Daphnia pulex: one gene and its partner. The protein of the gene in region 1 interacts with the protein of each later gene in a biochemical or structural test. Links are inferred from orthologs where the notes say so. Each region holds a gene or a part of one and is shown on either strand. Other genes may lie near its edges.

Region 1 (6,181 bases):
TTGCTGGCGGTTAGTTTTGACGGAGTGTCAGGATTTCCCTGGAAGTTGATTCACAGGTCCATTGACGAAAATGTTGGAATTACATTGAATCAAATGGCGGAACCTCTTACGGAGAACGAATCAAAGGTTTTTCAAACTAAATTCCATAAATTGGCCTCAAATCAAAATGACGAGCTGACAATTGCTCGTCAAATTCTCGAGCGCGTTCCTCTCATTGACGGGTATGTCCACTTTGAAATAATTCTCCGCTTTGAAGCGCTATGTAGCCTATAATTTAATTCTTTGCAAATATAGGCATAATGATTTACCGCACGTTATTCGACTCCTGGCCGAGAGTCAACTGGCTAGCTTCAATTTGACAGATCTTGCAGATAAGAATCCTTGGAAATCTGATCCTTCGTCGCATACTGATATTCTCCGTCTCCGACAAGGGAAGCTGGGCGCTCAGGTAAAACTGAATGATTCTCTCGACTATTATACATGAATTGAATCATTTTTTAATTAATCTCTCTGTCATAGTTTTGGGTGGCGTATACGAATTGCAATACTCAGCACAATGACTCGCCGCAAAAGACGATCGAACAAATTGATCTCATCTACCGCTTGATTGACTTGTATTCAGACACTTTTCAACTAGCCACCACATCTCAAGGTATTAAACATATAACTTGACACCGGTGCGGTCAACCAACTTGTGAACAATCACTTTACATTTACATATAGAAATTGAGGACATCTTTGAATCGGGTAAAATTTCCAGTCTGATCGGAGTTGAAGGTGGTCACTCCATTGGAAATTCCCTCGGTGTTTTGCGCACTTTCTATCGACTCGGAGTTCGTTACATGACTCTCACCCATTCGTGTCCGACTCCATGGTATACACATCTAATTCTTTAACTGTCATTTATTTGATCAATTATAATTTTTTTTTTAAATTATTCTTTAAGGGCTGACAATTCACAGCTGGATAACCCGGGTCAGGAACCTATTCACGACGGGCTTACCGGTTTTGGAGAAGTATATTCCTTATTTTTTAAATTGCTGTTATTCTTGATTTTTAGACAAGTTTTTGTCCGTTTAAATTTATTAAGGCAATAGTCCAAGAGATGAATCGTCTGGGCATGATGGTGGACATTTCTCATGTGTCGGTCTCGACAATGGAAGACGTATTGAACGTGTCAAAGGCGCCCGTGATTTTCAGTCACTCGGGGGCATTTTCTGTTTGCAACAATACTCGAAACGTGCCCGATCATATCCTTCGTCGATTGGTTAGTCCTACCATCAATTTTCTTTAGTCATAATTCATATAGCTTTCTGTGCTACAGGCGAAAAATGACGGAATTATCATGGTGGTATTTTACAACGAATTTATCGCCTGCGGTCAGTCGGCAAGCCTCAACGATGTGGTGCGCCACATCGAACACATTCGTAATGTTATCGGGGCAGATTACATCGGACTCGGTGGTGACTTTAACGGAGTTGACAGGTAAATTATTTATTAACAATACAAATGAGCAGGGAAAATAAGCGGTTAATATTTGAAGGGTTCCCACTGACTTGGATGATGTTTCAAAGTATCCCAACCTCTTCGCGGAATTGTTACGTCGCGGTTGGAGCGAAACAGATTTAGAAAAATTGGCTGGTAGAAATATGCTGCGCGTGATGCGTCGTGTTGAGCAGGTACAGTACTTTGTTATTTATATCACGCCACGCCTTCTTTTCAAATTAATTGTTATCAAAATGCTGATATAAGGTTAAAATGGAACTCTCATCCATGGAGCCGATTGAAGAATGGATTCCGGCCGAAGACCTCCGACCTGAGCACAAGCAATGTCTCACCGAGTACAGTTAATTTCTCATCGTTAGATTTCTTCACGGTTGATTCATCAGCAGGTTCTAAGAATTTGAACCGCGCAATTTAAATTTGTATTCTCCTCCACGCGCGCCATAGCAATCGTTTAAAATTACCCTCGCTTGATTCCGTACCAAATTCTATTATGATTGTCAATCGAAAAGAGAAACTTGCGTTTGCTTCACGCTCAGTCATCACGTCAGTTTGAATTGAATTGCTAGACTGAATTATTTGATTTCAAAGAAGATAGTATCAGGTTTGTGCAAAAATGTCTAGACTGCCAAATAAATAGCGCTTTATACATTGATAATTTCTTTTTACTGCATTAACATTTATGTAGTTAAAATTTCACGGTTAAATGTCTCTAGCGTAAATGTCGAGATATTTCTTTTTTCAAAAATCTTTTCGCGGTTTCCTAGTGTTCGTTCAATAGGTTCTCGGTAGATGAGGTTAAAGTCGCTTATTTACATGTGCTCTTTTCTTCAGTCGTCTTCTCTTGAAAATTGAAAAATGATTACACCACGTTTCAAGCTCAGCCAAGATGAAAATTGCCTATTTGTCACGATTCACGCACCCTTTTCCAAGGTATCAGACGCAGAAATTTACATGGATGGTACTGATTTTCGCTTTCATTCAAATCCCTATTACATTCGCCTTAACTTGCCGGGAGAAATAATTGAAAACGACGAGGCTAAAGCTAATTTTGATGCTGAAACAAATGAATTCAAAATCACGTGTCCAAAAGTAATAAAAGGAACACATTTCCAAGGACTGGATATGCTTACGAGTCTTCTGGCACCCAAAGGAAAAAGAAGTGTCGACAGCAAGGGAATTGAAGTGCTTGAAGAAACCTGCTCAGAAGAGGACTCGGAATCAGATTTTGATTGGTTCTTGGAGCAAAAAATTGAAGAAGAATCATCAGATTTACCAGCTAATGTTTCGAAATATGGTTTTGGCTTGAAACATTCCGGACTCTTTGCTACATTGGCTGAGGAACTGCATCAGGTTGTGGATGTCAAAAATCCTGACAACCAGTCAGCCTCAGAAAGAAGAATAGAAAGATTGGAACAAGAGAAGAGAGAATTTAATGCAGAACACTACTTGGCTGATTTTTTCCAGACTGACATGATCGATCCTCTAATTGAATACCTACCTTCAAGCAGGATTGGGGAGGAGTGGACAGAGGCAGAAACTATCCTCTTAAAAACCCTCACCAACAAAGAATACCTCCTGGATCATGATCAACTACAGTCCACATATTTGGGTTTGGTTGATATTTTGCTGGCATATTGCTACGATATGAGAACCACCATGTCCGACCCCAACGTCGAATCAGCATGGACCATAGCAAAAATTAGTGGAACTTTATCTTGGCTTGAGGTATTTTTCTTTTTCTTTGTTTATTCTCTTTCGAAATTACGCTTAATCGACTATTTGATAAAAATTTAGATTTTCACTTCGATTCGCCAAGTTGTAGATTGCTTTCTTCGTAGAAGTCTGTGTTTTCCCTTATTTCGAAACTTCAAATTGTCCATTAAAGCCATTGAAGACGCCTCAAATATTCTTAAAGAAGGGCGGACGTCAGTCTTGAGGTGTTTCTTACAAATTCATCAGCTGTTCAACAAAAGTGATCCTCGATACCTTCTTAATCAACTGTACATTCGAGACTATTGTATCTGGATACAAAAGTGTAATGACGAGACACTCGCCTCGCTAAGCCAAAGTTTAAAATCGGTAATGATTGTAATTTATGGAATACCAAATTTGTCCTGCTAATTAAATTGTCATAATTTTAGATGGAATTTACCAAAGAAGATGTTACGTTAAACCTTGTTGATCTTGAGCGGGCCGCAGTTAACCTGATGTGCTATAGTGACGACTCGTCAGAAGAATCGGACCTCGAAGAACAAATGGCCCATCTGTCACTCAAAAAGAAATCCGCTTCGAGCGCAATGCCGATTGATCTTCAGGTTGCAGCGGAAGCCGCTCGAATGAGCTCGGAATCTGATTTGGATTCTGATGATGATTCTTCATCCGAAGAAAGTGACTGATTAAAGATTCCCTTCCAATTTCTTGACTTGATGAAAAGTGTATGCACAGATAATGGAACTTCACCATAAGAGGAATACAGTTGAAACTTTTGGTATACTCCTTTTTATCATTCGAATAAAAATGTTGGCACAAGGAAGAGGAACAACATCGATCCTCCGAGTTTAAAAGGCTATTCCTTGAGCCTTAGATTTCTTTTTTCTTTATTTTTATTAAAAGCTAGACAGAACTTCTAAGAGTGTTATCGCTGCGGGCCTGGTAGAGGAATGGAAGCCGGAACTAAGACTAGCCAGTAAAATGCTTTCACATTTATGTCAGCGCCGCCTTTTTATAAAGCCCATATCAGAATTATAGTCTTTACTCTTTAGTGTCTGTAGAAATTGATAGTAAATGTTTTTTTTTTTCGTTTTTCCTGTTCTTATTTCTTAATAACAAACGAAAATGAGGACGCGTACATATTAAACACGGACATTGGATTATTTACATTTAAATTGGCTATAGATAACACTTAGCAAGATTAAATAAAACAACCTGCATAAGTTTGAACGAGAACGACTAAACAATTGTAAAAAGCAAAGTTTTTGCGTCTTTTTTATTTAAAAGAAATCGATTTTTGGCCGCCTGGGGCACGAAAGGGAAAATACGTCGTCTGTTCAGTCTTTCATTTCAGATGAGACAAGAGTGTCTCAGTTGACGGATCAGAAGAGCTTAGCTGTAGAAGTTCAAAACATTACGTCGTTTTCTCGTTATTAGTAATGTAGTGAAACCTTAATTAATTTCCCCAGTATTATTTCTTATTAACTAAGGATGACGTCTTTACTAAAGAACCAAATTATTAAGCATTTGTCCAAGTAAGATACGTTTTAAAAGATTGTTGTTGGTGCCAGTGGGCCAAACATTATTTACCTAATCTTGTCTTAAAAAGGTTCGTCAAGAATTTGTCGCCCGATAAAATAAACCTTAGTACCCTAAAAGGAGAAGGTGAGCTCACTAATCTTGAATTGGATGAGAAAGTGTTGACCAGTTTGTTGGAGCTGCCGAGCTGGTTAACCTTGGACCGAGCATGGTGCAATCGTGTTTCCATCAGAATACCTTGGACAAAACTTAAAAGTGTCCCCATATGCTTGGTATTTATTTTATATAAATAACACATTAAAATTATACTCCTGTTACATAATCAATTTTAAATTTAAGAGTCTAGATGAGGTTCATGTGTCTATGGGAACTTGTTCTGAATTGCGTCAGCCCTCCGCTAACCTAAAACCTCCAACTTATGCAGCTGGTTGGAAATATGGGTTTTCAGACAAAGTTGTTGATGGAGTTACATTGAGTGTCAACTCATTGATTATAAATTTCAAAAGCCCAGCATTTGAAGCTTCCTTGCAAGTGAGTCATAGACCCAGTATCATATTTAGGTTACATATTACATAATTACACTTTTCGAATGCAGTTTTCCCGTATTCTACTAGAGTCAGCGTCTCCTACTTGGCAACACGGAGATTTGCGATTTTCTCGGTTGAAGGATACCGACCTAGGCTTGATTTTGTTGTTTAAGGTATTTGAATAAATGATCTAAATCTTTATTAAATTTTGGAACCTAACTATTTGTTCATTTTCAGGAATTGCAATGGCAGACTCTTCGGTTGGAAGCACGGTCGACGACTGGTGACCTCTCCTTACCCCCTCTTCGTTTGATAACGAATCAGTCAAAGTGCCGAATTACAATCAAAAAGCGCCTTTTAGGTATAGTTTGCATAAATTTTGATCAACTACTTTGGAATCACTGAAATTAACTTGAATTATTGTTTACTAGATTGTGCTGTCATTGGCTGTCGTCTTGTGTTAATCATGGATGAACTACTTTGGGTGCTTACGGACGCACAGCTAAGCGCTGCCGTTCTCTTTCTGCAATCCCTCTCTTCCTTGATTGAACAGGATACTTTGGTGAATCAAAGATTTAAGGTATAAATTGGTGAATTCAATTCATCTCTATTTATTTGGTGCATAAAGTCAACGTAATTTTATCATAGGCTGCAAGGAAATTGGAGACACTTCCAGAGTACCATGCGCAGCAGCAACAGCAGCAGCAGCACCGCTCTGGTGCGCCTGGTACCACCCATAAATCTCCAAGTCCACTCGGCCGAGTTTTTGCTCGTTATGACGTGCTGGAAACCTCGTATCACTTTTTCTCAGAGAAGATCGATTTCCATTTTTGCGATGATCCCGGAGAGGGCAGAAGCAGCCACCCAGAGCTAAAAGACGGTGGAGCCCTTCAGGTTAC
Region 2 (6,998 bases), on another chromosome or scaffold:
CATCTATTCTAGGTGACCATCTTACACCAACAAATATCATCTTCTTGGCAACTCCAGTCATGCAGTATTTATAGGGAATCAATTCATGGTAACCTGGATTCAACAGGGAATGAAGCTGATATACAATCCGCACTATCTAGCTTACAAGCTGTTTCCCGGAGCTTGAACGGGCTCCGCAGCTCTCGGCCGCACATATATGGTCCTTGGTAGAGCTCAAAATTTTTATTCTACTAATCTATACAGATACAACTGCAACGATGTTTACATTCACAATAATATAAAATTATAGTTCATTTATTGTGTGGTTTAAAATTTTGTTTATTATTTTGCGATGGTCCGCCATCGTCCTTTTGTTTGTTTACATTTGATTCGTATTTCGGTGTCTCGACGTGTGCCAATTTGTTGATGTTAAATAAGTAAGGTTGCTTTCCATTTTCCTCTTTTGTTAATTTCAGTATTATATTTCGCAATCTATTTCACCGTGAAACCTTGTTTATCGTAAATCACTACTTACAATTCCGAATCGAAGTATCACCAGCAAAATTTTGACGTTCGTCGAGCGGTGAGCTACAATGGATGTTGATTTTTGATTTCCACTTTTCTCATTTAATATAACCGTTCATCACCCTATTCCACATACATTACGCATGTTTCTCACCTGAAAAATCTAGCGCATTTCTTAATTCTAGGCTGAATGTACTACTCCGTGTTAGTAGCATCTCAAGCTAATAAATCAACCGTCTGTCAAATGTGTGGTTTTGAGGAAAAATCAATTAACAACAAATAGTTTCACCACAAGCTCCCATGCTTTACAGTGTAAAGCTAATAAGTAATCATTACAACATTTGACGCTTAAGTTGGTTCTTCCATAAAAGTATTGAATAAACTCGTATTTAGAGATTATTCAACGAAGAATGTTAGACACATTTGAATCAAACTTTTATAAAGCTAGAAATAACAGTATCGGTAATGAACACCGTGACCAGGTCAACTTTCAACTTATTTATATTCCGCTTGAGATGTAAAATATTGTGTCTTTATCGGACAAAGACATCGGTATTCCGAAAACTGGAATTGTCCCTGGAGATTTGAAGGGAGAAGAGGTAGAGGAAAGAAAGAGAAAAAGATTATGAATTCTCATTTGAATGGCGAGACCACCATTCCGTACTTTAGAGAATCCGTGTGGTTTTTGTATTCAAGTATTGTGTTCGGTGGAAGGTTTAAGACTCGACGAAGTGTATCTCGAATTCGGTTGGTAGTAGCCTGATCACTTGCAATTCGATTCCATACCGAAATAATATCCTCCTAAAATATATATATTTATATAAATTATATGATTTTTAACACAAAAAACATTTTTCTTACAGCAAATCGAATTGAGACGACAGCTCCACATATTTCGTCGCCTACCATAAATTGTTCGCCTAACATAGCTAATATTAAGTTCTCCCAACAACGTGAGGCTAAACCTTTTCGAAGACGCACAATCCATTTACCACCACAACGATTGGCATCATCCTGTTGGGAAAAAAAAGTAGGTTAATAAACACTTCACCACCCTTATTATTATTTAATAATACAACCTCCCACATTGGTTTGATTCCATCTTTAAATAAATGAAAGTCACTGTGACCAGAGAGTTCACAAGGCCTGACCAGATGGCAATAGTATGACCAAAACTGTTCTACAGAAGCAAAACGTCCAACCATTCTTAGATTCTGATCAAAGCTTTGGGGTGCTGCATGTTTTCCAGGAGCTCTCCGACTAAACCACAAACAGTATGTGTATCTAAAAACAAATGGTATTTCTATAATTAACATGTACTAATAAAAGTAATATCATTTTCATGTGTACTGGAGTGGATGTTCTTCTCGAGGAACTTGAATGGGTTGCTGAAAAAAATTAACCTTTAAATTAGTAGGAAAAAATGGGTAAGTGAGCACATAAATTCGTCTATCGCAATTATCACATCATTAACATAGAGTTAATAGATATTACAATAATTTTTTGTGTATTATGCAGTTAATATCTCACCAAAATTAAATCCTTTTTCTTTCTTTCTTCACTGAATGAAGTTTCGTCGTCATCACTGTCTTCGCTGTTGTTCAACCTGTCGAAAAGCAACAAAGTAAACGCAAATTCTATTAAAACATGTATAAAATTTGAAAACTTACGCATCAAATTTATTGTTATTAAGGGCCATTTGTAAATAGTTTACGAAATCGGAGTGTTACAGTCAAATTGTTCACTTAATTTATACACCAATTTGCAGCATGTAGTAGAAAGACTAAAGAAAGAAACAAGCAGTATGTCCAGAAATGTTGTACAAATTTTAGATGGTGAAAACACTAAACAGTACCCACACTATAGAGTAGCGAAAAATTGCCACCAGTTGCCACCAGGTGACCTTCAAGAGGTTTTGGCGCCACACACTAGAGTACCCTTCCCAAAGCCAAAGCGCCACGGCCCACGGGAGAAAGATGTTATAGTTATTGTAACTTCTAATGTAATGGTAATAAAGAGATAATTTGAACCATTGAATTTTAAAATCAAGTAAAATATTGGAAATACATGTCATAGCAGAAAAAGTGACTTCGTGATTAATTTTTTTCCAAAAATAAGAATCAAAAATCAAATGGCAACGCTCAACACTTCCGCTCATTGGTTTCTTTTTTTGTAGCAGAGGTTTTTCAACACATTAGATCAAAGACAGGACTTCGAACCACGTGTGAAGCACGATGCATTCATCTGGTAAGCGCCATCACATAATATAAATTTTACAAGCTAGTTATAGGGATCGATTATGTGTTTTCACATGGAAAAGATGCATTGTAGTTTGCTGCACAAATAGTATGATTCGAAATTTACATTAATTTGGTTAATTCTGTGATCTACGGATTAATGTTGGTAACACGTGTCGGTTAATGTTAGCATTCCTGTGTTTCAGAAGTCCTAGGAGAGAAACAAAGTGGAAAGAAGTCAAGAAAGTCCTTGGGAGATATTCAAGGAGATTCAGACTTTGTGTTGGAGCCATCAGAAAAACCAGTAGCAAAATTGGACTGTTCACAATGGCCGCTGTTACTAAAGGTATGTTGTTAAATATTAAATTAAATGTAGATGTTCTCAAAATAATTTATTTTAGTATCTATCTATACAAGCATTATGCTAAGAATGCTAATGATTAATTTATCGAAAGTAGTGGACTGAAAAGACTGAAGACACTCAAAGATAATGAAGCATTTAAAACTAAATTCTTAAAATTTTTCTAGTTTGAAACTTGATCTTTATAGATATTAATTTTTCCCTTGTTATTTATTAAGAAATGTGAACATTTTCTAAATCATCTTTTTTTTTCAGAATTTTGACAAGTTAAACACAAGGACAAATCATTATACACCTCTTCCAAGTGGTTGTTCACCATTGAAGAGGCCAATTAAAGATTATATTCATGGCGGTTTTATTAATCTTGACAAGCCATCTAACCCAAGCTCTCACGAAGTAGTTGCCTGGATTAAGAGGATTCTAAGATGTGAAAAGACGGGTCATTCAGGAACATTGGACCCTAAAGTTACAGGTATGTTGATAGCACTCAGAAAATCCCATGGACTTTACTAATTGAATATTATACAGGGTGTTTGATTGTTTGCATTGATCGTGCTACAAGGCTGGTCAAATCTCAGCAGGGAGCTGGCAAAGAGTATGTTGCCATATTTAAGCTTCATTCTGCAGTTGAAGATAACAATCAGGTAGTTTCTTGACCCTTCTAGTTGAAAGCCTTATGCTAAAGATGCTAATGATTAATTTATCGAAAGTAGTGGACTGAAATGACTGAAGATAATTAAAGATAATGAAGCATTTAACTGAATTCTGTTAATTTTTTAAGTTAGAAACTTGATCTTTATAAATACTAATTTTGTATATATTTTTTTTATTTATTAAGATTCCTCGAGCTCTTGAGAAGTTGACTGGAGCTTTGTTTCAGCGTCCACCACTGATCTCGGCTGTTAAGCGACAACTTCGTGTGCGAACCATTTACGAGAGTAAATTTTACGAGTACGATGCCGAGAGACAAATGGGTATCTATTGGGTTAGCTGTGAAGCCGGAACTTACGTTCGTACCCACTGTGTCCATCTCGGTTTGGTGCTAGGCGTAGGAGCTCAGATGGCGGAACTCAGAAGAGTTCGTTCTGGTAAGCCAGGAAGTTTCTTTTTGTGTGTGTTCTTAAGATGAAGATTTTATTTTTTATAAGGTATCCAAAGTGAAAAAGAAGGGTTAATGACTATGCACGATGTAATCGATGCGCAGTGGTTACATGATAATCATAAGGACGAAACATATCTGCGGCGGGTTATTCGTCCATTAGAGGCATTGATGATGTCTCACAAGCGAATAATCATGAAAGACAGTGCTGTAAGTGTGTTAATATTTATCTATAATATTCTTTATAATAATGTGTTAAAAAAATATATAACAGGTTAATGCCGTTTGCTATGGAGCTAAAATCATGTTGCCTGGTGTATTGCGGTACGAAAATGGTATCGAACTAAATGAAGAGATTGTTATAGTAACAACCAAAGGAGAAGCAGTGGCTCTCGCCATTGCTTTGATGACGACAACAACCATGGCTTCATGTGACCATGGTATTGTTGCCAAAATTAAACGTGTTGTCATGGAGCGTGACACTTATCCCAGGAAATGGGGACTTGGACCTAAAGTAAAAATTGATATAGTTTACATTGGCGTTACTTGTATGTATATGTATGTATTTGTTTAATTTTAGGCTTCCGTCAAGAAGGGTATGGTGAAACAGGGACTCTTGGATAAGTTTGGCAAACCTAATGACAAGACACCTAAAGATTGGTTGACATCTTATGTAGACCTAAAGTATGTAATTCAACGCAGTATTTGTATCAAATTTTTCAATAATATTATATTTTTCTGTAGCGTTAAAAAAGAAAAGGTTGAACCAACTGAAGATGCTGAGGCACGAAAAAGAAAGTTAAGTGAAACGAGCGCCGTTGCTGATCCGTTGTCAGAATCCATGACGGAAACCAAGGAGAAGAAGAAGAAGAAAAAGGACAAAGACCGGGTAAGTGTTTATACTCTTGTGAAATAATGATGTCTTAATCATTTATGGATGATTTTCAGGAGCCGCAGGGTAATGAAAGCATTCTTGATGCCACCGTAGAATCGGTTCCTGAAACCAAAGAGAAGAAAAAGAAGAAGAAAGATAAAACAGCTGAAAATGAAGACCTTTCAATTGCAGTGGACACATCAACAATCAAGGTAAATTAAACTTGTCAATTAATTTTTTTTTTAAACAAAGGTGTCGTGATTATTTAATGAAAGTAGTGAACGGAATATTTCTGACGAAAATTACCTAAATGAAAACATACTGCAAATATTATTCGCCGAGTAATTTGGTATGCATTAGTAATGTGAACATATTTCTATTTAGGAGGAGTCTGCCAAGAAAAAAAAGAAAAAGAAAGATGTCGATCGGGAAGATGATTAATTATAATTGAAATAATTTGTAATATTATGTTTGCAAGAAAATTCGAAAATACAATTCATTTCATTTTTATGCTGTGTATTAATTTATCAGAAAGTTTCAAGATGTGACAACTTCATTTGCTCCTTCAAAATTTAACCCTTCAACATCAACTTCATTTTCAGAGGCATTTAACATGTTCAATGTCACTTCAGCTGTTGACTTGTTATTAATCATTTGGGGCTGTTGTTGAACAACTACAACTGCTTGCTGAGGACTTGAATTAATATTCTGGAGTGGACTTGGTTGAACAACTGGTTGGCTGATGACTTTGGACAAAGGAATACCTGCTGCCTCAAAAGTTTTTTTCTTCAAACTACCATGAATTTGTGTCCTAATAAATAGAAGCAAATAAAATTTGAAATTTGAACACTGACATATGATTTTTGCAATCAACTTACACTGTCTTGTCTTTAATATGTTCAGAAATCTTTTCAAGATCTTCTCCAAAGCGCTTAATGGAACTTCTCAACATTTCAATTTCATCTTCACTCCATTTTGACCTGTATAAGAAAAAATTAAAAATACAACAGTGTTACAAAAGTAAATTACTTTAAATTATTTACCCAGCATTGGCATTTTCTGAGGAATGTAGCTGCATGGTCAATTTCCCCAACGTACTGAAAGCTAAGAAAAATAATGGCTGAAATCACTCATTCAACAATTACCTACATACACCATGTGTATTTTACCTAATCCTGCAGCTCCAAATATATCGGCAACCTTATTAGCAGAGTTCATTCTTGTGCACTTTTACAAACAACTAACCCAGAAAATTCACCACAAAGTCAATTATTTGGTATAAAAAAACATAATTTCCCGTAGGGATTCTAGTCACAGTCGAAGGAGGCTCAGTTTTGACACGCCACCGCTGCAATTCAAACTGCAAAATTCAATTGCAGTAATTAGACACTTAAATTTACGTAATTGTGACAACAATCACGCAAATTTTTGTAGGCATTTGATTAAACAAAGAAATCTCTTTAAAATGGATCACATTTTACGAAGATATAATAGATTTATTTTTTAAAACAGCGATTCTAAGTCAAACGGGGCTCAGTTTCGAAACGCCACCGCTGCAATTCAAACTGCAAAATTCAAAACGCCACTAAACATTAACACAAAATTTACGTAAATGTCTTACAAATCACGAAAATTTTTGTATGAAAGAGATTAAACAAAGAAAGGTCTTCAAAATGGATCACATGAAGATATACTAATAGCTGTATTTTTTACACAGCGATTCAAAGTCGAACGGGCTCACTTTCCCGGCTTGATGTGTGTCAACCCAAAAGCTATAGTTTGCAGGCCTAACAAGAAGCGAATTTGGTGGCAATTTTTACGACTGCCCGGCGGCCTTGTATACATGTAGATCCCCACCAAACGTGAACAGAAAAGCGTCCGGTTTGTTTGTTTACGTTTTAAAGCAAAGTAAGTTTTACTACT

The links.
Region 2: the proteins of protein SHQ1 homolog (region 1) and H/ACA ribonucleoprotein complex subunit 4-like are reported together in a solved structure, tested with the Homo sapiens proteins (2 studies listed by BioGRID, with this or other methods). The link is inferred for Daphnia pulex from reciprocal best matches to the Homo sapiens genes SHQ1 and DKC1.

What each region holds. Positions count from the first base shown.
Region 1 is NC_060022.1:3,500,146-3,506,326, forward strand, and holds protein SHQ1 homolog, read left to right. Parts: upstream 1-2,294; 5' UTR 2,295-2,361; coding exon 2,362-3,231; intron 3,232-3,300; coding exon 3,301-3,585; intron 3,586-3,647; coding exon 3,648-3,902; 3' UTR 3,903-3,999; downstream 4,000-6,181. Other genes in the region: dipeptidase 1-like, read left to right, coding at 1-221, 295-448, 520-652, 724-874, 947-1,016, 1,091-1,267, 1,325-1,485, 1,544-1,679 and 1 more; UHRF1-binding protein 1-like, read left to right, coding at 4,708-4,751, 4,826-5,027, 5,095-5,286, 5,351-5,455, 5,520-5,643, 5,714-5,862, 5,931-6,181. UniProt on the Homo sapiens protein: Required for the quantitative accumulation of H/ACA ribonucleoproteins (RNPs), including telomerase, probably through the stabilization of DKC1, from the time of its synthesis until its association with NOP10, NHP2, and NAF1 at the nascent H/ACA RNA.
Region 2 is NC_060025.1:6,907,354-6,914,351, reverse strand, and holds H/ACA ribonucleoprotein complex subunit 4-like, read left to right. Parts: upstream 1-2,662; 5' UTR 2,663-2,738; coding exon 2,739-2,751; intron 2,752-2,947; coding exon 2,948-3,087; intron 3,088-3,357; coding exon 3,358-3,574; intron 3,575-3,630; coding exon 3,631-3,746; intron 3,747-3,940; coding exon 3,941-4,190; intron 4,191-4,250; coding exon 4,251-4,411; intron 4,412-4,475; coding exon 4,476-4,715; intron 4,716-4,781; coding exon 4,782-4,885; intron 4,886-4,945; coding exon 4,946-5,090; intron 5,091-5,149; coding exon 5,150-5,287; intron 5,288-5,353; coding exon of another isoform or gene 5,354-5,356; exon of another isoform or gene 5,357-5,459; coding exon 5,460-5,516; 3' UTR 5,517-5,585; downstream 5,586-6,998. Other genes in the region: eukaryotic translation initiation factor 4E type 2-like, read right to left, coding at 1,038-1,080, 1,169-1,305, 1,366-1,518, 1,584-1,788, 1,855-1,907, 2,035-2,110, 2,175-2,203; chromatin complexes subunit BAP18-like, read right to left, coding at 5,613-5,886, 5,954-6,055, 6,119-6,179, 6,245-6,293.